4 linked regions of the Saccharomyces cerevisiae S288C genome follow. Changing the gene in region 1 together with any one later gene gives a genetic interaction. Each region holds a gene or a part of one and is shown on either strand. Other genes may lie near its edges.

Evidence for each region.
Region 2: mutations in RVS161 (region 1) and CAP1 are lethal when combined (synthetic lethality), as found in Saccharomyces cerevisiae (5 studies listed by BioGRID, with this or other methods).
Region 3: mutations in RVS161 (region 1) and MYO5 together harm fitness more than expected from each alone (negative genetic interaction), as found in Saccharomyces cerevisiae (5 studies listed by BioGRID, with this or other methods).
Region 4: mutations in RVS161 (region 1) and SUR2 together harm fitness less than expected from each alone (positive genetic interaction), as found in Saccharomyces cerevisiae (5 studies listed by BioGRID, with this or other methods).

Annotation. Positions count from the first base shown.
Region 1 is NC_001135.5:129,060-135,027, forward strand, and holds RVS161 (amphiphysin-like protein RVS161), read right to left. Parts: upstream 2,484-5,968; coding exon 1,686-2,483; downstream 1-1,685. Other genes in the region: serine/threonine protein kinase SAT4, read left to right, coding at 1-1,222; ADY2 (Ady2p), read right to left, coding at 3,214-4,065; putative ATP-dependent permease ADP1, read right to left, coding at 4,665-5,968. UniProt on the Saccharomyces cerevisiae protein: Component of a cytoskeletal structure that is required for the formation of endocytic vesicles at the plasma membrane level.
Region 2 is NC_001143.9:427,327-432,195, reverse strand, and holds CAP1 (Cap1p), read right to left. Parts: upstream 2,895-4,869; coding exon 2,088-2,894; downstream 1-2,087. Other genes in the region: 60S ribosomal protein eL14 RPL14A, read right to left, coding at 162-290; SFT1 (Sft1p), read left to right, coding at 1,564-1,599, 1,741-1,998; sphingosine N-acyltransferase LAC1, read left to right, coding at 3,645-4,869. UniProt on the Saccharomyces cerevisiae protein: F-actin-capping proteins bind in a Ca(2+)-independent manner to the fast growing ends of actin filaments (barbed end) thereby blocking the exchange of subunits at these ends.
Region 3 is NC_001145.3:484,785-493,388, reverse strand, and holds MYO5 (myosin 5), read right to left. Parts: upstream 6,803-8,604; coding exon 3,143-6,802; downstream 1-3,142. Other genes in the region: EUC1 (Euc1p), read left to right, coding at 1-985; HFD1 (hexadecenal dehydrogenase), read left to right, coding at 1,397-2,995; ILV2 (acetolactate synthase catalytic subunit), read right to left, coding at 7,242-8,604. UniProt on the Saccharomyces cerevisiae protein: One of two redundant type-I myosins implicated in the organization of the actin cytoskeleton. Required for proper actin cytoskeleton polarization and for the internalization step in endocytosis.
Region 4 is NC_001136.10:1,053,310-1,059,236, reverse strand, and holds SUR2 (sphingosine hydroxylase), read right to left. Parts: upstream 2,687-5,927; coding exon 1,637-2,686; downstream 1-1,636. Other genes in the region: ATP5 (F1F0 ATP synthase subunit 5), read left to right, coding at 423-1,061; mitochondrial 54S ribosomal protein mL67 MHR1, read right to left, coding at 3,345-4,025; HDA2 (Hda2p), read left to right, coding at 4,590-5,927. UniProt on the Saccharomyces cerevisiae protein: Required for hydroxylation of C-4 in the sphingoid moiety of ceramide. Catalyzes the conversion of sphinganine to phytosphingosine in sphingolipid biosynthesis. Involved in the response to syringomycin.

The sequences.
Region 1 (5,968 bases):
TGGTACCCATGAACATCACTTAAAAAATGCTAAGAGACAAGAAAAGCTAAGCACAATGATTAAAAACATGGTTGGTGCGAGCAAATTACGTGGTGAGGCAAAATCTGCTGTCCCTGATATAATAATGGATCCAAAGACGACTTTAAAATCCAACAAGAATCCTCCTACTCTTTTTGCAGGCTTCATGAAGCAGGTCGTGGATATGGATGATAAATATCCAGAAGGCGCTCCCACAAGTGGCGCTTTAAATTGTCCTGAAAGGGATATATACAGGTCAGATCAAAAAGATTCCAAAAATAATACGCATAATATCACTACTACTAAAAAAGATAGGCAATGTTTTGCCGAAAAGTATGGTCGCTGTCAAGAAGTCCTTGGTAAAGGTGCTTTTGGTGTAGTAAGAATATGTCAAAAGAAAAATGTTTCTTCTCAAGATGGTAATAAAAGTGAAAAGCTTTATGCAGTGAAAGAGTTCAAGCGTAGAACATCCGAATCAGCAGAAAAGTATTCTAAGAGGTTGACTTCTGAATTTTGCATTTCTTCTTCATTACACCATACAAATATTGTTACTACACTAGATCTTTTCCAAGATGCCAAAGGCGAGTACTGTGAAGTAATGGAATATTGTGCAGGTGGCGATCTATTCACTTTGGTCGTTGCCGCCGGAAAATTAGAATATATGGAAGCAGATTGTTTCTTCAAGCAGCTTATTAGAGGTGTTGTTTATATGCATGAAATGGGTGTTTGTCATAGAGATTTGAAGCCTGAGAACTTACTGCTTACGCACGATGGTGTGCTAAAAATTACAGACTTTGGTAACAGCGAATGTTTCAAGATGGCATGGGAAAAAAATATTCACCTTAGTGGAGGCGTTTGCGGTTCATCGCCGTACATCGCCCCAGAGGAATATATCAAAGAAGAGTTTGATCCAAGACCCGTAGATATATGGGCATGTGGTGTCATTTATATGGCAATGAGAACTGGTAGACAATTGTGGAGTTCTGCTGAAAAAGACGATCCATTTTATATGAATTATTTAAAAGGACGTAAGGAAAAGGGAGGCTATGAGCCAATCGAAAGTTTAAAAAGAGCCAGGTGTAGGAATGTTATATATTCGATGTTAGATCCCGTTCCGTACAGAAGAATTAACGGGAAACAAATTTTGAACAGTGAATGGGGAAGGGAGATAAAATGCTGCCATAATGGGCGCGCATTGAAATAAACGAGTACTTCACTTTCAAATATCACGATATTTTGGAACAATTCGGTATTTTTTACTTAATCTAGTACACTAAGGAATGCTTTGTTATCCGGCATTCGTATCTTATTCCTCGCTTCTATTGTTCTACTTTTATATCCCGTTTGGCTGATTACGGATCACGTTCAAATTGGTAAATCCCATTAATTAAAAAAGAATTGTAACCTTATTTAAAAAAAAAAATAGTACATAACAATAAAAAAAAAAAAGATAATAATTTTGAATTTATTGCTAGACATTCTTACGTTTATTGTGTTCATGTTAACAAAAACACATGCCCGCGGTTATTATCGCTTTTTAATTGCTTTCTTAAAAAGAGTCGGTTGGTCAGATAGAGCAGATAGTAAATTATAGTGCTATTTAGGTCTGTTAATTTAAATGAAAGAAACATAAATGACCGTAAAAAACTAAAGGCAAAAGCATTAATTTATTTTATCCCGAGCGCACAAATATCTAGGCTTGTCATTTGTCCTAATAGTTCTTCGATTTTAGTGTCTAATAACCCATTGGCATAGTCGTCTCTTGATTGTTGGTCCAAATATTGTTGAATCTGCGCTAAACGAGTGTAACCATCAGTACAGAACCTTAGCTGAATCTTGATTAAAGCTTCAAAACTTGGGTCAAAGTAAGGTACTCTTAATGAAACTAACTGTGGTAGTTCAGTTTTCAATTGGTTATTAAGATTTTCGAAAATATCTTTAGCTAAGCTCAATTCTTTTTCAGCCCTTGGCAGTTTAGAGGCATCTTTAGCAGGTTTGTCCACTAATCTACGAACTTTTGCCTTCGCAGCATCGAAGTCTTGTTTCTTATGGTCTCTCTTTTTTATGGCCTCCTCAATTTCTTTGAAATACGTCGAAAACTTTGTTATTGGATCTAGTACGGTTTCTCTTAAGGGCCCGTCTAATTGCTTAACAGTTTCGCTATCAAAATCTTGAACACATTGCAAATAATAGTTACCAACGTTGTAACCACCACCAGCAACATATTTTGAATCGTCATAGAGGTTAGAGATGACCTCGGCAATGGTAGTCTGTGATGCTGTCACAGCTCTCAATGAGTCCAAGAAACCTTTGGCTTCCTTTTGTAATGCCTCACCTGCTCTTTGAAGAACTTTATAACGACGTTCTTCCATGTCATACTCTTTATCAATGGTCTTGTCGACATTCTTAATTATCACACTGTGACCAGCTCTGTTGATAGCTTTCTTAAAACCTTCCCAACTCATCTTGTATCAGCTTTCTTCTGGCTTCTTATAATAGGATTTGTATAGTTTTCTATATCACAGCGTTTCCTTTTCTTCTCTCACGTCTGCCTGTTATTAAATTTGTTTTCCCTTTCTTTTAATTCGGATTCTCATAATTGTTCAAAATCCGCGCATTTGGATCGTCCAGCCCCTGCAGCGCCCAGTTCAGCCAACAAAAATTCATAGGGACGTAAAGGAAACGTTTCATGTCTGTTACAATGAAAAAGACAAGTCGAATCACATTATGAATGGCAAACGATAGACCTTTCGTTGCCTTTCAATTACATGATATTCGTGGCAACATCTTCTCCGCTAACCTAAAAGTTTTATCAGAAACATATATCTTATTTTTTCTGAAGTAAAATCAAAGTGCAGGGAAGACAAGTAAAGGAGTCAGCAAAAAAGTGAAGTAAACTTATATGTTAACTGTTTATAACCGTACCTTGCTTACATCATCTATATTTTCGTAATCATTTTTGTACATTGTTTATATCTTGTTTTGAAGTTTTAGCTTTGAAAAACATTTAATTGCGAAGTAACATAATGTTATTAATAGTGTACGACTGAAACAGCCATTCTATTTAAACATATAAAAGTACGATTAGTTGGTGTGGTTATATAAGTCATAAAATAATTATCATATTAAAAAATTGAAAAATAAAAAACTACTCTTTTTTATTTCAATAGTTCTCGTTATTAGTAGGTCGTGCTCTTAAAAGATTACCCTTTCAGTAGATGGTAATGGGAATGGACGAGCCAGTACATATGAATTCTGCTTTGTAGCAACACCTGCATATGCGTTGTACCAAGCAATGAAAGCAACAACAACTCCCAGGACACCACCAGCTCTTGTGACACCAAGTCTATTAGCAAAGTGACCAATAGACAACAGTAGGAAAGTTAATGCTAGTAAGAAGAACAACAAAAAGAACATAACAGTGGATTTCATGGTACAAACGGTTAAACCAAACGTAAAGATGGCCCACCCCAACAAATAAAATCCTAAAGCATTATTCAAATCAGATTCATTGTCTTCGTAAGCTTCCAAGATACCAAACCAAGGAATGTAAATTGCAGCGAAACTCAACCAAAACCCACCGTAAGAACATAATGCGGTACCACCAAAAGTATTTTCCAAAGCTATCTCCCAAATACCAGCAATCAATTGCACCAAACCACCATAAAACATAGCACAACCGACGACAACATTAGGAACAGTGATCCCTTGCGCTCTCGCATTGAACATGGACAGCACAAATGTCGTCAACGCGAAGGCTGAAAGACCTAAGGGCGCAGGATTAGCAAATTTGTGCACTGGAGCAGGAGCTAACCCTGGATTCAAGGTACCACCAAAGGCTTGGTATAAGTCGCTCTTCAAAAACTTTTGACGCCCAATATAGATATATTCATTGTTATCACCTCCAGTGTAAATCTTGCCCAACGAATCATGAGATGGACGTTCATCTTCTGCAACGCCATTAACGTCGTTATCATGGGAACTATAGTATCCTGCTGGTGCATTCTCCAAATCTGTGTTTCCGCTCGTTTGTTCCTTGTCAGACATATTATTTGTTTGTATATGAGTTGTTTTGTGGTTGTTTAGTTATATCTGTGTTAGCTGTCGACTATTTGCCTTTTTCTTATAAACAGATGCTAGTAGTTTCTGTTGTATTGTTATTGCTATTGGACGATATATAAAATGAACCTATAGCAAGATCTCAGGGAAATACGATCCAACCAAGGTGCTTTATATACAGCTTGGTGTCTCTGACAGGTTGGAGTACAGAGGAGAAGGCGCCATAGCCGCCCAACCCGCGATAACGAAAAAAAGCTGTAAGAAAATGCAGTCTTCCCCAACGTTTGTTACCCCAACAATACCGAAATAGCCGCCCAACCGCAAATCTGGCAAAAAATCTTTTCGTATCTCGCTGCAGATGACCTTCCAACCCGCCCCTTTTTGTAGTCACGCCTTTAAGGGCCCTTGTTTGGCTTGCTCACATGGGGCTACACGTAAAAACCGTAGCTTGGAGAACCACTCAGCCGCTCGCCTATTCCACGGAGCTCCGGATCAACGGGCAGTGGACCCTCTCGAAAATAAGGAAAGTTGCGGGGCCAAAAATTATTATTTCTTATGTAAAAGAAGAGACTATATACGACGCCTATCTACTTTTGTTCCACAACTATCCACTTAAGGGCTAGATACCCCATTATTAAAAACACCACATTAAACAGAGCCAGGATCTTGATGTCAAATACAAGGTTTTGGACAACAAATCCAAATGTGCTCAAGATAGTAGCGCCTGGAACTTCAATATTTAAGCCGTACTTTCTCTCTTTCAGCATCAATGTTTTGACCTCATTGATCAATAAAGATTCGTAGGCGTAGTAAAACACAGAGAAGTTTTTCAGGTACTTGAAGGCCACGTTTGTAATATTCTTAGTATTGATAAATAGTCCGCTAAACAGTAGTGAGCCCAAAAGCACCAGCACGCTTAATATTATGGAGTTATTCAAGTCTTCAAAAATTATGCCGATGGTTAGGATTTCCAACGATATCCCAAGGTTAAACAGTATAAGGATTCCAATACATTTAAAAAAAGCATTGTCTTTCATGTTTAAACCAGTCATTGGGTAAACAATCAATGACAAGAGTATAGGTGGTACAACACGTAGCGGGACCACTTCGCTCATTATCTTACTAATGTAGTATGCAAGTGGCGAGTAATAGTTATTGGATCTTTCTTTTATGAAAATGATCCTTTCCAGAGCGAACGAGCTGAGACCTGTGAATGTAACAAAACCGAAGTACGTTAGTATAAAGAAGAACAGCCCCATTCTGTTCTGAAAACCGCTGATATCATTGGAGACGTTGTAATATAGTGTTCCCAAGAATAAACTCAATAGGATCGTCAGTAAATAATTACCCAATAATAGTTTAGGGTTTCTGTACATGTTTTTAAAACTTCTTGAATTCAATATCGATAACTGTTGCAGAAAACCAGCAGATTGTTGACCTGTGGGTAAATCTCCATTCAAAACGTTACTTTCCTCATCACCTTCGCTTAAAACTTCCTCGATCTCCTGTGAAAGCTCTGCATAATAGACGCTATCTTTATATTTATCGTGTAGTAGTTTGGTATTTAAGTCAATCTCAGTAGCACCTCGCCTTCCATCTGTTCCCTCTACATCTTCTTCATCTCTGAGTAAAGATCTGATCTCATCTCTATGAGCTGCAAGATGAGCCCACTCTCTCTGTGTTGTACCATCACTGCTAGTAAATGTTGTTTGGTGTATCGTATTATCAATATCGTTAGTATCCGTACCAGCTTCTAAATCGGAAATGTTTCTGATTCTTCTCCTTTTCCCCTGAGGACCGGCTTCAAAAGTAATATCAATCAAATAATCAGCAATATTATAGTTGTCCGGACAGATATATCCCTCATTTCTCAAAAATTCTGACACTTTTT
Region 2 (4,869 bases), on another chromosome or scaffold:
TCTCTATCGCAATGTGTATTTTCACATTTACTTATCGTTTACAAGTAGCTTCATCCATGGTAACGGATTGGATATTTGCCAGCACTTTTTCGTAGCCTAAATCTCATTCCTCGTTCATTTCCCTCCTCAAATCGATGATAGGTTTTCCGGATTTAACATACCTTCTTTTGGTCAATAATTTCGACGATAGCGGCCAATTTACCTGCGGATTGACCCTTCTTGATCAAAACCACACGGCCAACTTCGACTAATCTCCAGTTAGAAGCCTTGACAATAGAATCGGTGGACATTGTTTATTTTATTTTTCACGACTCTCTTTGTTCACTAAGACAAACAATTAAATTTGTTATACAATCGGCAGACCTGATCAACTTAACCTTAGATTACTTTTTTTTCAGTTCAATAGTACTCGACGAGTACGAAGGGCAGTCCACTGAAAGCTCTACGCTCTCTCCGTTGCCAATTGGGCTGAGAATGGAAACACTGCGCGCTGAAGGGAAACCCGATTATGGAAAAATGCACGCAGCTGCAAGCAGCAATCTCTCGTAAACCGCTCTTTTCCGGGCGGAAAGTTAGGCCGACACCTGTTTGAAGCTTCATAAAATGCAAAATCGAAAAAAAATTGATAACGGACACTCAAAATTTGATATTTCACACATATTATGTATGTGATGTCAAGATGTAAAAATAGTGTATGGGTGTATTTGCGCTGTCAATTATTTTACTCAGAGTATAGTTACATTCTGGCAAGAATTTGCTGGTTTTGTCTTTTTTTACTTCACAACTAATGCTGGATTTTTTTATTTAAACCTAATTTCTTCAGTGAACTCCAATGTGTATTCATGTTTGATTTTAAAAGCTTCAATTTTAAAAGCTTCAATTTTAAATATCCGATGACTGTTAATCGCAGCTGCTAGTGAGATGACTGACAAAAGGTTCAGTAGAAACATAAAATATATAACAAATGTGTTGAGAATGATAGTATGATACAGTGGTATCATATTTCGTTCCTATTTGAGGTACCAGTAGTTCTTATCAAGAAGATTCAATGAGAAAGGTAACTGAATGATGATATAATTTGCGATCTAGGGCTAATCACTTGGAACACCGCCATGTTCTATATGGGTGATTAGCGAAGTGCGAAAAATTTTTTATCTGATATTTTCCTTGAACAATATTTCTAATAACACTTGCGTTGTTGCAACTGGCAGATTAACCATGTTGCTCAATATTCCTTCCTTGTATATGGGAGAACATCTTGAGGCAATGTTTAGAATTTAAAAATGTGTGCTCCCTTAAACTACGCTACTCAGAAAGGATCTTCGTGTGTACGGTAACTGACCAATGAATATTGTGCGGTAAGTATCTTATGTTTCTTGTTGCTGAATGTACGGTTCATGCAGTAAATTAGCTACTCTAGTTTTCTTGTTATTGCAAGAAGCCGCGCATTGCTACATGCAGAAAAAAAAAGAGGAAATAATATAAGGTATATCATTAAGAAGGATACTGGAAGAACTCAACAAGGAGAGAACGGTAGAAAGGTAATATATAATCATCATAGCGATGTCAAATTCTAGGTATTCTCAGACCGAATCAAACGTATGTAAATCACCGGCAACACGCATAGGTGTTTAGAATGGGACCTAGCTTGCTATATGGATGTTATAAGCTACTAACTATTGCTTCTGTACACCGGATGAGCAGATGTATCATCCCTTCATGTACATGTACTTTAAACAGAATGATAGGAAACTAGAGGGGTTAGCCAATAAATTAGCTACATTCAGAAACATAAACCAAGAGATTGGAGACCGAGCGGTCTCTGACAGTTCTGTCATAAACCAAATGACAGATTCATTGGGATCGATGTTTACCGATATCAAAAATTCGTCCTCAAGGTTAACCCGATCATTAAAGGCTGGTAATAGCATATGGAGAATGGTGGGTTTGGCGTTATTAATATTCTTCATTCTATATACCCTGTTTAAGTTATTTTAGTGAGCCAATCAAGCCAAAAATAAATAATGTACATAGATGTATTCAATTTAAGAAATAGGAAGAGAATGGAATAAGGCAGGCATGAAATTTCATTTGCCTTCTGCCGCATTCTTACCCAATCTATAACTGCCAATCGCACTACCCCAGTTAATTTTGGATCTCGTGACTGGTAATCTTCTTCTTAAGGCCTTAAACTGTTTTTCGTTCAAGTCGAAAAATGAAAGATCTAGATCATTTTCGAAATTCGTCTCAATATCCCTTATTGTGCAAACAACGTCATCAACGTTAGATTGATTGATATCCTTCCCAGATTGGAAACTAACGTTACCGTCTTCGTAATAGTGGACTTGCGTAGAGATTTGACCGGATAACTCCCTGGTCTCCAAATCGTAGATGTAGCTTGATCTCCAATGGCCGTTCCAGAAATTGTTTGGATTATATTTGGTGCTAACAATAATAATAGAAATTTTACTTATTTCCTCAGGGACTGGGTAAACAGCAAAACTGACATCACCTGGAAAGCTCTGAAGAAGATATTCGTGCAATTTATCGTGCAGTTCTTTCAATTGCCCTTTCTCTATCTTTGCATGCGTGAACTCATATGGTTCAATGTCAAGGCCCTTGCGCTCTAAATGGTTAACTGAAAATATTACGGAATTTACGGGATCAAAAAACTTTGCTCCTTCCTTGTTGTATTTGGAAATAATTACAGAGTTCCCGTTGACTTCTATAGGGATGCAATTCTGCACGTTGTAATTCTCAATAGCATCCAAAATAGTATTTTTGGAGTTTTCACTTGTGATCTTGATTAGATCGTCGTATACTTCCCTTAATTCTCCTGGAGGGCTGTCATTGATGATCTTGTTGATGACCTCTTCGAATTTACTACTAGACATTTTCTGTCGCTCTTATGATCCGTTGGATTAACGGTCTGAATAGTACCTTACAGTTGCTAACACCTTCCTATACTCAAATCCAGTACTAGCCACTGTAAAATCAGTATTCCAATAGGAAGAAAAAGGGGATCATAACCCGGCTATCGTATCACATGATAGTCACGTGCAGTGATTATCACGTGATCCGAACTGTTGTGAAAAAACGCGACGCGAAAAAAAAAATGCTGGGCTTCAACAGGAAAAAGACCAGGAATGAAAAATAGTTGGAAAGGAAACAACTGTCTTTTCCGGTCATTCCAACAAAGTTGCTAGATCCGCGGAACCATTTTCGTCATTTTTTTTTTTTCACTCTTTTTTCTCATATCGGTGGGCATTGTACCTGATCATGCTAGACAAATAACGTGGGAGGAGGGAGAAAGTATTGGAATCTAGACAAAGATTTTTAAGTTATTTTTCTATTGTTTCCCTCCTTGGCTTGTTGCATCCCGTTTTGTTTTATTTACTTGCTTTTTTTTTTTCTTATTTATTTATTTATTTATTTATTGTTATTTGGCTATTGTATTCCGTGAACCCGTTTTTCTGCTACATCGGCTTTATAATCCGGACCTGATTTAAGTTAAAACTACAGTTTCTTGTTCGTTACCGTTTTTCTGTTCCATACAGATATTTTTGTCGGTTGATCGCTATTGTTTTTATTATTCATACCTCCGGTAAACATTTAGATAGACACAGTATCAATAAACAAGAGCTATGTCGACAATAAAGCCAAGCCCTTCAAACAACAATTTGAAAGTGAGGTCAAGACCAAGACGCAAGTCTTCCATAGGTAAGATCGACCTCGGGGACACTGTACCTAGTTTAGGTACTATGTTCGAGACAAAAGAATCTAAAACGGCTGCTAAAAGGCGTATGCAGAGATTATCTGAAGCCACCAAAAATGATAGCGACCTGGTCAAGAAAATCTGGTTTTCATTCCGAGAGATAAGTTACCGTCATGCCTGGATAGCTCCCTTGATGATTTTAATCGCGGTATATAGTGCCTATTTCACTTCTGGTAACACTACAAAGACAAATGTGTTACATAGATTTGTCGCTGTGTCATACCAAATAGGTGATACCAACGCATATGGTAAAGGTATTAACGATTTGTGCTTTGTATTTTACTATATGATTTTTTTCACATTCTTACGTGAATTCCTAATGGATGTTGTCATTAGACCGTTCGCTATTAGGTTACACGTCACTTCTAAGCACAGAATAAAAAGAATCATGGAACAAATGTACGCTATTTTCTACACCGGTGTTTCCGGTCCTTTCGGGATATATTGTATGTACCATTCGGATTTATGGTTTTTCAACACAAAGGCAATGTACAGAACATATCCAGATTTCACTAATCCCTTCTTATTCAAGGTATTCTATTTGGGTCAAGCTGCATTTTGGGCTCAACAAGCCTGCATTCTTGTATTGCAACTAGAAAAGCCAAGAAAAGATCATAACGAGTTGACTTTCCATCATATTGTTACTTTACTATTGATTTGGTCTTCCTACGTATTTCATTTCACTAAAATGGGACTGCCAATCTATATCACAATGGATGTTTCTGATTTTCTTTTGTCATTCTCCAAAACTCTAAATTATTTGGACTCTGGATTGGCTTTTTTTTCTTTTGCTATCTTTGTTGTTGCGTGGATTTATTTGCGTCATTACATAAATTTAAAGATCCTATGGTCCGTTTTAACGCAATTTCGCACGGAAGGTAACTATGTCTTGAATTTTGCCACTCAGCAATATAAATGTTGGATTTCCTTACCAATTGTCTTTGTATTGATAGGCGCTTTGCAATTAGTGAATCTTTATTGGCTGTTCCTTATTTTTAGAGTTCTTTACAGGATTCTATGGAGAGGTATTCTCAAGGATGACAGAAGTGATAGTGAATCAGACGAAGAAAGTGATGAAAGTTCCACTACTCCAA
Region 3 (8,604 bases), on another chromosome or scaffold:
CTTCTTTCTAGAGAATCAAAAGAAGTTGGAGAAAGGATTTAAAGACATCAATAAGTATGTTGAAGATGTTTCCGCAATGAAAGAAGTCTTCAAAGAGGTAGTTGGTATTATGACTGGGGAGAGAATAAGATTTATAGACCATACTGGGGAAAATGTTACTCCTCAGGAAGCTGCTCGTGTTGGAAATCCATCAACAAGTACGCAAGCTCATCAAAGTCAGTCAAGATCAACAAACTGGCAAGAATATAGTATGCACGCAAGCATATTAGCCGGCGATCCTCGTATCAAGCCTGAGCCAGGGCTGTCAGACTTTGAAAATGGGGAATACGATGGTAATGAAAGTGATGAGAACGCTACCACCAGGAACCTACCTTTAAATAACCCCGATTCTGTTAGCAATGCTGATGACAGTAATAACCAACTCGATGGAACAGGAAACGAGAATGATATCAGAAACAGAAGAGGGTGCGTTGGAACGTCATATAAACTAAATCGTGCAATCCAGAACGTTACAGATGCGGCCCGTGAATACTTTGAAGGCTTACCGGGCCAACCGTCAGTTCTTTCCCTTGAGAGGAGATATGGGTCCACTTGGAGGCGATCTGCCAAAGAAAGGACTTTGTTCACTAAAAGAATGACCATCATAAAAAGAATAATAGATATAAAAGATGATCCAAGCAAATATGGTTTGTCGCTACCTGAGAATAAAATAAGTAGAAACCAAGCCATCAAGGTTGTCGAAAATATAAGATTGGGAAACAATACCTTCAAAGGACATCATTGCCGATTATCAATGTCCCAGTTATACGAATACTTCTCCAAAAAAATGGACAAACTCGAAGACTATTCACTTACTCTAAAGAGAAGAGGGAAGCCAAGAAGAATTTTCTTGTTAGAAGAGAGAGAAGCTAGATTATCATTACAGCAGCCACATAGTATACCAAATTCCAGTACAGGCACACCAGAACATGATCAAGACACTTAGAGGAAATGGAACAACGAATTTCCAGCCAAAAATTCCGAGTAGTTCATGATGAAAGATTTTTACATGCATTTTATATATAAATATATACCGTCCTATATGGATTTCATGCCAACAGGGTATATAATAGACAATTACCGGTGTACTGATATATCAACTATCGACTCCAAGCCTTTTATCTATCAGTCAATTTTACATCAAGATCCCACTTTTAGATAGGTTCGAAAATTCAATCTAATATTAGTGATTTAATTAGATGGTGGATTGCTTACCCTTTTTTTTGTCGTTTTAGGAGGAGATTCTTCGGATTTTAGGGATAAACGGATACTCCATATATAAAAAACAAAACTTCAGGCATATTGATTATCTAAAAGGAATATTCTAAAACCATAGCCATAGTAATTTATCACCAACATGTCAAACGACGGCTCAAAAATATTGAATTATACCCCAGTGTCTAAAATAGATGAAATAGTTGAAATCTCAAGAAATTTCTTCTTTGAGAAACAATTGAAATTGTCCCACGAAAATAACCCAAGGAAAAAAGATCTAGAATTCAGGCAGTTGCAGTTGAAAAAACTCTATTATGCCGTCAAAGATCATGAGGAAGAACTGATCGATGCTATGTACAAGGACTTTCATCGGAACAAAATTGAATCGGTTCTGAATGAAACGACCAAACTTATGAACGATATACTTCACCTAATTGAGATTTTACCAAAATTGATCAAACCTCGGAGAGTATCTGATTCTTCTCCTCCATTTATGTTTGGTAAAACAATCGTGGAGAAAATATCAAGGGGCAGTGTCTTGATTATTGCTCCTTTCAATTTTCCCCTACTTTTAGCATTTGCCCCATTGGCAGCAGCTCTTGCTGCAGGTAACACCATTGTTCTGAAGCCAAGTGAACTAACACCACACACTGCTGTAGTTATGGAAAATTTGTTAACCACAGCTGGTTTCCCTGATGGATTGATTCAAGTAGTTCAGGGAGCTATAGATGAAACTACAAGACTACTAGATTGTGGAAAATTTGACCTAATATTCTACACAGGTTCTCCCCGTGTCGGATCAATAGTTGCTGAGAAAGCAGCAAAAAGTCTAACACCTTGTGTACTTGAACTTGGTGGTAAATCACCTACCTTTATTACAGAAAATTTCAAAGCAAGTAACATAAAAATTGCTTTGAAAAGGATTTTTTTTGGTGCTTTCGGAAATTCTGGCCAGATTTGTGTTTCACCAGATTATTTGTTAGTACATAAATCTATCTATCCAAAAGTCATTAAAGAGTGTGAATCAGTACTAAATGAATTTTATCCAAGCTTTGATGAACAAACAGATTTCACTCGTATGATTCATGAGCCTGCTTACAAAAAGGCCGTTGCAAGTATAAACTCAACTAACGGCTCCAAGATTGTGCCTTCAAAAATTTCTATCAATTCAGATACTGAGGATCTATGCCTTGTACCACCAACCATAGTTTATAACATTGGTTGGGATGATCCTTTGATGAAACAGGAAAACTTTGCTCCTGTATTGCCCATCATTGAGTACGAGGATCTTGATGAGACCATTAACAAGATAATAGAAGAACATGACACTCCATTGGTGCAATACATATTCTCTGATAGCCAAACTGAAATAAATCGTATCTTGACGCGCTTAAGATCTGGTGACTGTGTTGTCGGTGATACAGTGATTCATGTAGGAATTACCGACGCTCCATTTGGAGGGATCGGTACTTCAGGTTATGGTAACTATGGTGGATATTATGGATTCAATACCTTTAGTCATGAAAGAACAATTTTTAAACAACCATATTGGAATGATTTTACCCTTTTTATGAGATACCCTCCAAATAGCGCACAAAAGGAAAAGCTCGTCCGTTTTGCGATGGAAAGAAAACCTTGGTTTGACAGAAATGGCAATAACAAGTGGGGGTTACGCCAATATTTTTCATTATCTGCCGCCGTTATTTTAATTAGTACCATTTACGCTCATTGTTCTTCCTGAACGTAATGTTTAAGGTTAATTAATTATTTGATGTATAAGTAACCTTTCGTTTAAAAATTTCATATGGGCGATAATATATCAATATTTATTAATTACAATTTACTCTATTTGCTCGTATAGAGTATATACTCGCTAAATACATTTTGATTACCAATCATCTTCCTCTTCATCTTCGTTAGCCTCCTCGTCATCACTCTCTAATCTCATTTTATTGGCCCTAGCAGCAAGCGCATTCGCCAAACCATCACCCAAACTTGCTTGGGCTGCAGCTGGAATAACGTTTGCAGAGGTGTTATCATGTTGTACAGAATTCAGAACGGGTTTAGGAACATCCCTGTTTTGAGGAGGAGTAGGGATATTATTATTTCCGGAATGTGGTTTCATGTAAGCTGTTGGCACCCAACCTTCCTTAGAGCCATCCAGAAGTTTCCCGAGAGACCAACCGCTTGGTTCTTCTCTTGTAATGTAAATTACGTCTCCTTTCTTTAAAGGTAACTCAGATGGTGATCCTGAACCAGGAAAATCGTAAGCCGCTTCAAACATGGGTTCTTTTGGCTTTGAAGAGGGTGGGGGTGGAGGAGGTGGTGGAGGGATATTTGCCTGTCTACCAGAGCCCATTGCGGCAGCAGCGGGTGTAGCAGCGGGTGTAGCACGAGTGGCAGCAGTAGGGGGAGAAGGACGGGCATTACTTTGGGATGCAGTGAGAGTGGAAGCAGGATTAGGAACAGATCTTCTTGTAGCAGCTTTGTTCTGCATTCCTGGTGGTGGAGGGGCAGGCTTTTTAGAATGCCTAGAAGCCGGGGCGGTGGGAACATGCTGGGCTGCAGCAATCGAAACTGGCCTCCTCGTTGCTTGCGAGGAACTAGCATGATATCCTGAAGAGATTGAACTCTTTTTTCTCGGTTTTTTGTGCACTTGAGAATTAGGTGGGTTACCACGACGAACTGATATTGTACTGGATTTATATATGTCGCCATATTTTGGTGCAGATTCATTGATTTGACATTTCACTGAATGCAACTTTCCAGGTTTCTTTTGGTACTCTATCGCCGAGCCTATTTTAATTTGAATTTTGTCGTTAAGCCTTTTCAGATGCGTTATGAGTTCTGTTTTGAAATATGTGTTGATTAAGGGGTCAGGTTGACCTGAGCTAGCCAACTTAATGGCGACCCAATCATCCTGTAAATTGGTTAAACTAACCGCTTGAATGTTTCGCACATCGATTTTATAATCCTGAGTATAGGTCATAGCATTTTGGACCAAAGTCTGACCAACAATGTACAATGTAGTTGGAGTTAATAGGAAAGTTTTTTTCAATCTTTGTGCAGAACGGCCAAATTTTGTATGCAAGGCCTCACCATGTATGGAAAAGATGACCTTCTCTTTAATGCTCACTTGTCTTTTGATATAAGCGCCCTTCGATTTGGACTCGTTGCATGATAGATAATCACCCATGAAGGCTCTGTAACCTAATAAGGACATAGACCTTCTTTCTTTTCTTCCACCCAAAACCTTCGTACCATAATCCCGGAGCTTCTCATACTTATTACCTTCCTTCCTCTCCCTGATGGTGCGCTGGATCTTAGTGGCCGCATCAATTCTTCTTTGCAAAAATCTCCTCCAAGCACGTTGGATTCTGGCAGCCATATTGTGCCAGTATCTATCTCTCATATGCTCCAAAGCAAATAATGTTTCAGGTGTTTTGATGAAAACACTTGTGACACCCAATTGGTACTCCTGCTGTGGGATAGAGGAATCTTGCAATATATACTTAACAGCATCTAAGGTATCACCTTGCCATGTATAGTCACCAGCGTAAGAACAGTGTGGAGATAATAAATAAAATCTTTCCACGAACTTCTCAAACACTTGTCTATATGCAAAACCTGCTCTTCTGATACGCACGTTTTCTTGCAGACCTAGATACTTAATCTGGTGTAGAACTTGCCGATCGTCATAATCGTTAGGAGATTTGGTTTCGTTTGGTTTAATTGTTCTGATATATGAAGGTTGTGCTTTTGATAAAGTTTCAACCAAATCATTTGCACTCTTTATAATTTTGTCGCCTGCTGTAGGTGGCCTTCTTTTTGATTCTCTGTCTACAGTATCCGGGAAAATGGTGGCTAAAAATGTATTGGTAGTGGTACCAATTAATTCTACCAGATCCTTTTGTAATTGATCCTTATTTTTATCTGTAATACCGTCAATATCGTATGTGACATCACCGGCATAATGCTTAATAACAAACTTGTTAGATCTCAAGTCAAAATGTGGATTTGTTGTGAACAAGTTCAAACGCTGAGCAAAAGCCTGATCAGCAGCATTTGAATCCGCGTGTGCAGTTGCAACAGAATCATTCATTGCTGCAAATATACCAGGTGGTCTTCTTGCCTCAATCAAATCACACACAACCTTGTTATCAAAGTATTTAATTGGGGTCCATTGGATTTTTTCTCTCTCGTAAGTTTCTTGCTCAGATTTCAATGTCAATTGAATAAAGATTTGTTGTAACTTTTCATTAACATAATTGATACAAATCTGCTCAAAAGAGTTATGTTCAAAAATTTCAAAGCCGTAAATATCAAGAATACCAATGGATTTTTCAGCGCCTGGAAAAGCCTGCAGAGATTTGTTAACCCTACTCACAATCCAGTCAAATAAGTTATTGTAAATAGCCTTTGCCAAAGCATCTCTAACCGCATCTGCTTGGACAATATTCAATGGAACATGATACACTGACCCTCTTTTCATACCATGATTGGTTTCCATAATTCTTTCCACAAGTGATTTAATCAGCAATTGGCTATCTATTTGTAACAAGTAAGCAACAAAATCGGTTACTGAGGTGTCCCTAACTTGCGCATTCCCCTCCTCATTTTCTATAAAGGAAACATTACCAATCCAAAGAATTGCAGCTAACATCCTGAAAATTTGGTCTTGTTCTTCTTGACCGAGACCAATAACTCTCATAGCTTTTAATGTCTCTTGATAATCTTGCAAATCATCAATTGTCTCAGCAGATATGCAACCCGCAGCAGCTGTGTACACATATTGTTCCGGTTTTTGGACCCCAAATGTTTGCCTATAAGCATCGGAAGCACCTTTCGTGAACTGATAGAATATATGGAAATTTCTTTCATTCTTAATTTGACTCACAACTCTCTGCTTCTCCAATAAATAGTTTGTGATATTACCAGCACATGGTTCAAACTGGTTATTGAATTTTATTTCTAGATATTTCCCATGTCTAGAAGAGTTGTTATTTCTTAGAGTCTTTGCACAGCCAAAAGATTCCAACAATGGATTAGTGGCTAAAACCATGTCTTTAATCTTTCCAATTGACTCCGTATGTGTGCTAGAAGCAGCCGCAATATATTGCATAATTCTTTTAGCTGCTTCAGTTTTACCGGCACCTGATTCACCTGAAATAATAACACACTGATTTTCATTATATGATTTCATGTTGTAGTACATAGACTCTGCAATTGCAAATACATGGGGTGGAACTTCCAATCTATTCTTACCTTTGTATTCATTCATAACAGCATCAGTATAGATTCCGAGGTCTCGGAATGGATTGACACTAATTAACACATGACCTATATAAGTGTAGATTGTAGCATTCAAAAATCTCTTCTTCAAGTTTTCATTTATGGCTTCGTCGGAGATTTTAGAAAGAAGCGTCAGATCAGACACACCAACTTCTTTCTTCTTCGAGGAATCAAAAGTAGCTTTCTTGATATTCGCAGAGCGTTTAGCTGGCTCCTGATGTACCTTTTTTCTAGCTCCTCTTTTTAAGATAGCCATTTCTATAAAGCGGTTAAATTCGTATTGGCCACTGTTCTTATGCTTTATTATAAACTATAACCTTTAAATACATAGTCCAGTTTGTATTTTCCAAGCTTGCAATTTTTGACGGCCCCTTTTCGAGAAATATTTTTGATGATTGACAAAACGAGAAAGAAGTCGTGTCCGACGAGTTAAAACACACCATTTGAATACATATGCTACGTATCCACTTTAGATTTATCAAATACTACCAACTCACTTGAATTGAACTTATTATTCATCTATGACTTAATTTTAGCCGTCATTAGTTTTTTAGAAAAAAATATATAAAGTATATACGAAAAAAATATACATGACTACCGATTTGGTAGAATGTCATATATAAGAAGCACGATTAAATAATAATAAAGTCTGCATTTTTTACTGAAAATGCTTTTGAAATAAATGTTTTTGAAATTCAGTGCTTACCGCCTGTACGCTTATGACGTAATTCAGTCTGTTGTCTTTCAACTTCTGGGTCAAAATTTATGAACTCGTCTAGACCGCTACCACCTGCCACCATTGGCAAAACAGGAACTTTTTTATCAACTTCCACTTCAAGCAAAACTGGGCCCTTGGTAGAAACGAATTCTTTCAACTTAGCGTCCAATTCCTCTTGCTTCTTGACTCTTAAACCTTTTAAACCCATAGCCTCCGCTAGTTTTATGAAATCAGGGTTCAATTGATGTGTGTGGGAATAACGATGTTCGTAGAACAGGGATTGCCATTGAGTAACCATACCTTGCTCTTCATTGTTCAAAATCAAAATCTTCACTGGAGTACCAGCTTGAACGGCAGAACTCAATTCCGTTAGAGTCATGTTAAAGGATGCGTCACCATCAATGTCAATAACCAAAGATTCTGGCTTTGCAACTTGAGCACCGATGGCGGCAGGGAGACCGTAACCCATCGTACCTAAACCACCTGATGTGATGAAAGTATGTGGATTTCTCCATGTCCAGTGTTGAGCAGCCCACATTTGATGTTGCCCCACACCCGTTGTAACAATGACATGTCTTCCTGTGTCGTTGGCAACCTTGGATAGTTTCTTTATAACCGTCTGTGGTTTAATTTTAGATCCTGGAGTCTCCTCCATATAAGCGTATGGGTATTCCTTCTTCCATTTATTTATTTGAGCAAACCATTCAGACCTCTCCTTAACTGGGAAAATCTTTGACATCATTTTGCCCAGATTGGTCGTAGCATCACCTTCCACTGCTATTTGAGTTTGAACAACCTTGTTTATGTTTTTTGGACTAACCTCGAAATGAATAATACCACCTCTACCCTCGGCAGCTGCACGACGAGCTTCTGGAGCGAATTTAGAAATATTACCAGTGACACGGTCGTCGAATCTAGCACCAACTGCAATTATCAAGTCGGCATTTTGCACTGCCAGGTTGGCAGTAGCACAACCGTGCATACCAAGCATATCCAATGATTTTGGATCTTCTTGGTCGAATGAACCTAAACCTTGTAAAGTAGTGGTGACAGGTATTTGAGCACGGTCACTTAATTCTTTTAGTAATCTTGGACCATCTGCATGGTTTAAAATACCAGCACCGACGTATAAGACAGGTTTCTTTGCCAAGTTGATCAAATCTGCTGCTTTATTGATACTTTGCATGACAAATTCATCTTGTGCGCGACTGGTTAATTGGTTTAGTGCGTTTGATGGAAGAGTTGTTTTTGTTGGAATTGGATTTCTTAAGATAGCTGCTGTAACATCCTTTGGTAAATCGACCAAGACTGGTCCCGGTCTACCGCTCGTGGCAATTTCA
Region 4 (5,927 bases), on another chromosome or scaffold:
TATCTCTTAAAGTTCATTTTTTTGCCGGAATAATCTTGGTTTAGTAACTTATAAAACTACTTACGTCCAATAAATCGTTATATTTTATGCCGTCGTCATAAAGTGGACACTTTCGAGAGACGGTGCTGGCCAATAAGATGCTGATATTTGAAATATCATTTACCCGGGCCCGGGTGGGAAAAACAAGGAATTAAAGATAATGAAGTGATCTTTTGGCGAGATAGTAAAACTTTCAATTATCTAGGAACAATTTCAAACGCCAATTGTTAACTTTGTGTACAGTATTTCTAGTTTTTATCTCATTGAAAACAAAATTCAGTCAACTTGGAAATTTAAGCAGGCTACTGTGGCATTGAGATATTTTTCCGCAGAGTAAGAACCGATTAGCAAGTTACCGCATTATTTTTAAACCGTGGACAATCATGTTTAATAGAGTCTTTACCAGGTCATTTGCATCAAGCTTAAGAGCTGCTGCTTCCAAAGCTGCTGCTCCCCCACCGGTGAGATTGTTCGGTGTTGAGGGCACTTACGCAACAGCTTTATATCAGGCCGCTGCAAAGAACTCCTCTATTGATGCTGCCTTTCAATCTTTGCAAAAAGTTGAAAGCACAGTCAAAAAGAATCCAAAATTAGGTCACTTATTACTGAATCCTGCATTGTCATTGAAGGACAGAAATTCTGTCATTGATGCCATCGTGGAGACTCACAAGAATTTGGATGGTTATGTCGTTAACCTATTGAAGGTTCTTTCCGAAAATAACAGACTGGGATGTTTTGAAAAAATTGCGTCTGACTTTGGCGTTTTAAACGATGCTCACAACGGGTTACTTAAAGGTACAGTGACTAGTGCTGAACCATTGGATCCTAAATCTTTCAAGAGGATTGAAAAAGCTTTGAGCGCCTCCAAATTGGTGGGGCAAGGTAAATCTTTGAAGCTGGAAAACGTGGTTAAGCCAGAGATTAAGGGTGGTTTGATTGTAGAACTTGGTGACAAGACTGTTGACTTAAGCATTTCTACAAAGATTCAAAAACTGAATAAGGTCTTAGAGGACAGCATTTAACGTTAATAATATAGTTGGATATGCTCAACTCGTTTGATGTTACTTTCTTTGCCTCCCTCCTAATTTTTGATTCTGTTCAAATATATATTCTTTTCCGTGAATTTTTCCTAAACATCAAAATTACGTACATATACGAATAAATAAGAAACCCCTCTAAAAAGTGAATTTTTTTGTTCGAGACAACCATTTTAATCATATATATGTTCGTGTATCCAGGCAAACTTATATTAATCGCAAAAAAAAAAATTATAAGTGTATATATGGAATAAACATAAAAAATAATAAAAGAAGAAAAAAAAAAATAATGAAGAATTCTCATCAGTTTTCGAAGATTTCAAGAAAGTCCGAAGAACATTTAAGACCTTTTTGATAATTCAAGATGTGCATGCACAATAATAACCATTTCATAGTTGAATTTTGATGTATTCTTTCGTTACAAATCAAATATATAGTCAAAGTCACGCCTATACACTTAATAATATGTCTTGATGTATATAAATGGATAATAAATACAAACGTGGGAAGTCGGAGACATTGCCTTTACCCAGCAATTGAACGGGAGGTATGCAAAAGGGTTATTTCTCTTTCTTTACTTCATTTTCAGCAGCATTCATAGCTTTGAAGTTTTTGAGTTTCTCCTTCTTTTCCAATTCTCTCTCTTGCAAAAACTCTTTGTACTTGTCGATGGTGACACGTCTTTGCTTCTTTTGATATTCTTCAAACCCTTTAAAGTTAGTTTGGAACAAATTGTCCCAGAAAGTGAAAAATGGTTGAGCAAAGTTCGTCTTGATACCAAATTGCTGGTGGTGGATATCGTGATAGACAGCGTTATTAGGGAAAAGCCATTGGAATGGGTCAAGTGGCAAAGCATACCCACAGTGGTCATCGACAGTCTTCATGGTGGCAAAGGTAAAAAGAATGATTTGCTCTCTGTGAGTCAAATGAGTTAACGTCATGGCAATACCGGTTCCCAAAGTATCTAACAAGAAGCCCTCAACAGGATTGTTGAAAAGAGCACCGTAAGCATATGGCACGTATAGTTCATGATGAACAGAGTGGAACCATTTGTATAAGGTCTTATTCATATGCATCAATCTATGCAAAAAGTATTGCCATGTATCAACGAATAAAAAGCCTGCAAAGATCTTCAAAGCGGACATTCCGTACATATAGCCGTAATAAATAGCGGCATCTGGAATAATCCGAGGAAGGTCTGCACGAAGCTTCCACATGGCATTTTCTTCAAACCCAGTCATGTAGATCGGCTCGAAGTGCATAAAGATAAGGCCAACAATGGTCTGTATGATATGTTGTAGAATCACTTCAAGGAAAACATGCATTCTCGACGCCTTGTTCCTCTTGGCAACCTCTTCGCTCGGATGAATTCTGTACTTCTCAGCCAGATGGAAAGTGTCTATTACATGGAATATACCAGACAACGCCCAGTAGGCAACAACCGGCGCAACCAAGGCCAGCACACCATCACTCATTTCCGGCAGCAAGGATTCCTTGGGGCGTAAATTAATGGCAGGGGCCTTGGCATAGTGCATAAACCCAAATGAGGTCTTGAGACCAAATGCTAGTGGAAAGGAACCGGCTGCAGTTGCATTCGATGTTACGTTCATCGTATATTTTCTTTTCGTATACACCCTCTTCGGACTAGAATGTTAGAAATACCCAGACCAAACAGTAAAGACGAAGACCCGGAGTAAATGCAAGGGAATAGAAGATATGTAAATCGTTACTTCTTTTATAATCCCAAAACACGAAACGAAAAATGCGGCAACAACAGCGCAGCAGGATGAAGAAAGAGTGAAATAAATCAAGACAATAGCAAACAAGAAATTTTTAGTAACCCAAAAAGAAATTTTTCTGTGAAAATTGGTGCGGAAAGACTAAGAAAAACCGCAGAAGCCGGAGAAAAGCGCGACTGCCCGAAGAAGGACGCGGGGTGAGGGAATAAGACAATAGGAAACAGGAGGTCGAAAAGCTTATTAAGCTGTGCAAGTGAAAAAGATAGAGAAATGACGATAAGGTGAGGAGGATAAAACGCGTTTCAAGTCACACAACAGCAGCAGTAGCAGCGGCAGCAGCAGCAGCGGCAGTAATAAAGACTAGCCCTGTGTATTCCTGTTTTGACCTATCTTCTTTTTGCGGATACCCGCACAGCACGTGTTTTTCCGTGGAACGGGATTTGGCAGAAAGGTTTGCATTGCACTATTTACATGAGCTTATATATGTTTTTTTTTCTACCTGCATTTGTATATCTAATGACGAAGCGTTCTACTGGGAAGACACTTCCGTCTGCTCTGTAGGATGTGATTCGAGCTTAGCTAGTTCCTTCAGAATAACGCTTTCTTCCCTCGCAATGTTCCCCACACGCTGAATAAGCTTGTGTTCCAGCCCCAGAGCATTGAACACATCGTAATTCCAATGTTTGTCCTTGTCACCCATCCTCCATGGGTCCTCCCAGTATATGGACGGTTTTTTGGCGGGTACTGTCTGCTTTTCTGCTGGTGTGGCATTCTCAAACACCTTCAACAAGGACTCCCGCAAGTCTGCCACTGCCTCTTGACAATATGTAGGTCTATACTGTCCGCTATACCAGACGTGCCCGTTAGAGTCCTTTTTTCTTAGCTTGTCACTCTCCTTACGCTGTGCCACATCACGGAGGTATCTCAACCGGCAGAGGTTCTGGTATAGATGGACACTCTGCTTATAGTTTTGCAAGTTCACTACACACATACATTTCCAGATGTCCCTTCTCAATGATGGCTTTCTGTTGCTCCAGTTTGGTCTCACAAACAGCTTATCCACCTGTGTTTGCGAAAAGTTGGGAAATTGAGAATATAGTACTTGTCCATACTCTAGGTTCCTAAAGATGTATACCTGGGGTGGGATTATCTTTGTCTTTTCGAACCATGAAGCGGGGCGGAATCTTGAAATTGAATGGTTTACCTTCATGCTTTTGCCCTGAAATATCGATTTTTCCGTCGCTGTTTCTCTATTTATTCCTCACAGGATCTCCTCTTTCCGTTTCCTCTACATTTCATCATATAGCCTTACTTTCACTTTTTCCTTTAGTATCTGAATATCGGAAAAGAGAATATTGTAGGAAATGTATTTTTCCCGTCTACCGTACAAAATGAGTCGTTAACTTGACAGGAATCATCAACTTTATGCACGTCTGAAATTTAACCGTGGCGTATATGGTTCATTGCTTACACGAATGTCTCCTAGTTTATATTTCCTGAGAAAGTTCTCTACAGCCCAAATAAATAGTTATATAGATATATAAGAAAAGCGACAACAAAAGAAAAAAAAAAAATACAGTCCTACTAAAATAACATAATTGCGGCACAGAAGAGTAACCACAACTAGTAGAACATCGAGAAAGGAGAGGTAACAAAAAATTTTTTTTTTTAAAAAGACAGAATTGAGAACGATTGAAGGCGTTTAAGTAGTAGTAAAAGTATTTGGCTTCATTAGTGTGTGAAAAATAAAGAAAATAGATACAATACTATCGACATGAGTAGGAAAAATTCTAAGAAACTAAAAGTCTATTACTTACCTGTAACGCTAACCCAATTTCAAAAGGATTTATCAGAAATTTTGATATCCCTGCACGCCAAGTCATTCAAAGCAAGCATAATAGGAGAACCACAGGCAGATGCAGTGAACAAGCCTTCCGGCTTACCTGCTGGCCCTGAAACACATCCGTATCCAACGCTATCACAAAGGCAATTAACCTATATCTTTGATTCAAACATAAGAGCAATAGCCAATCATCCTTCCCTTCTAGTGGACCATTATATGCCTCGACAGCTTTTGAGAATGGAGCCCACGGAAAGCTCTATTGCTGGGAGCCACAAGTTTCAAGTTCTCAACCAGCTCATTAATTCGATATGCTTTAGAGACAGAGAGGGCTCACCAAACGAAGTTATAAAATGTGCCATCATCGCACACAGCATAAAGGAATTAGATTTGCTAGAAGGTTTAATATTAGGCAAGAAATTCAGAACCAAGAGACTTTCCGGTACATCTCTTTATAATGAGAAACACAAATTCCCTAATCTACCTACGGTCGATTCCACAATAAATAAAGATGGAACACCAAATTCTGTAAGCAGCACAAGCTCTAATTCCAATTCGACCTCTTATACAGGTTATTCTAAGGACGACTATGATTACTCAGTGAAAAGAAACCTGAAAAAAAGAAAAATAAATACGGATGACTGGCTGTTTTTAGCCACTACCAAACATCTCAAACACGATCAATACCTATTGGCTAACTATGATATAGATATGATAATTAGTTTTGATCCAATGTTGGAAGTTGAATTGCCCGCTTTGCAGGTACTGAGGAATAATGCCAATAAGGATATTCCGATAATAAAGCTATTAGTACAAAATTCTCCAGATCATTACTTGTTAGATTCTGAAATCAAGAATTCAAGTGTTAAATCGTCGCATTTGAGCAATAACGGTCATGTCGATGATAGCCAAGAATATGAAGAGATCAAATCCTCCTTACTATATTTTTTGCAAGCAAGGAATGCTCCGGTGAACAACTGTGAGATTGATTATATTAAATTGGTAAAGTGTTGTTTAGAGGGGAAAGATTGCAATAACATTTTACCGGTTTTGGATTTGATAACGTTAGATGAGGCCTCCAAAGATTCGAGCGATTCTGGGTTTTGGCAGCCTCAATTAACAAAATTGCAATATTCGTCTACAGAATTGCCCCTTTGGGACGGACCATTGGATATCAAAACCTACCAAACAGAGTTAATGCATAGAGCCGTCATAAGATTGCGAGATATACAGGACGAGTATGCCAAAGGCACTGTTCCACTGTACGAGAAA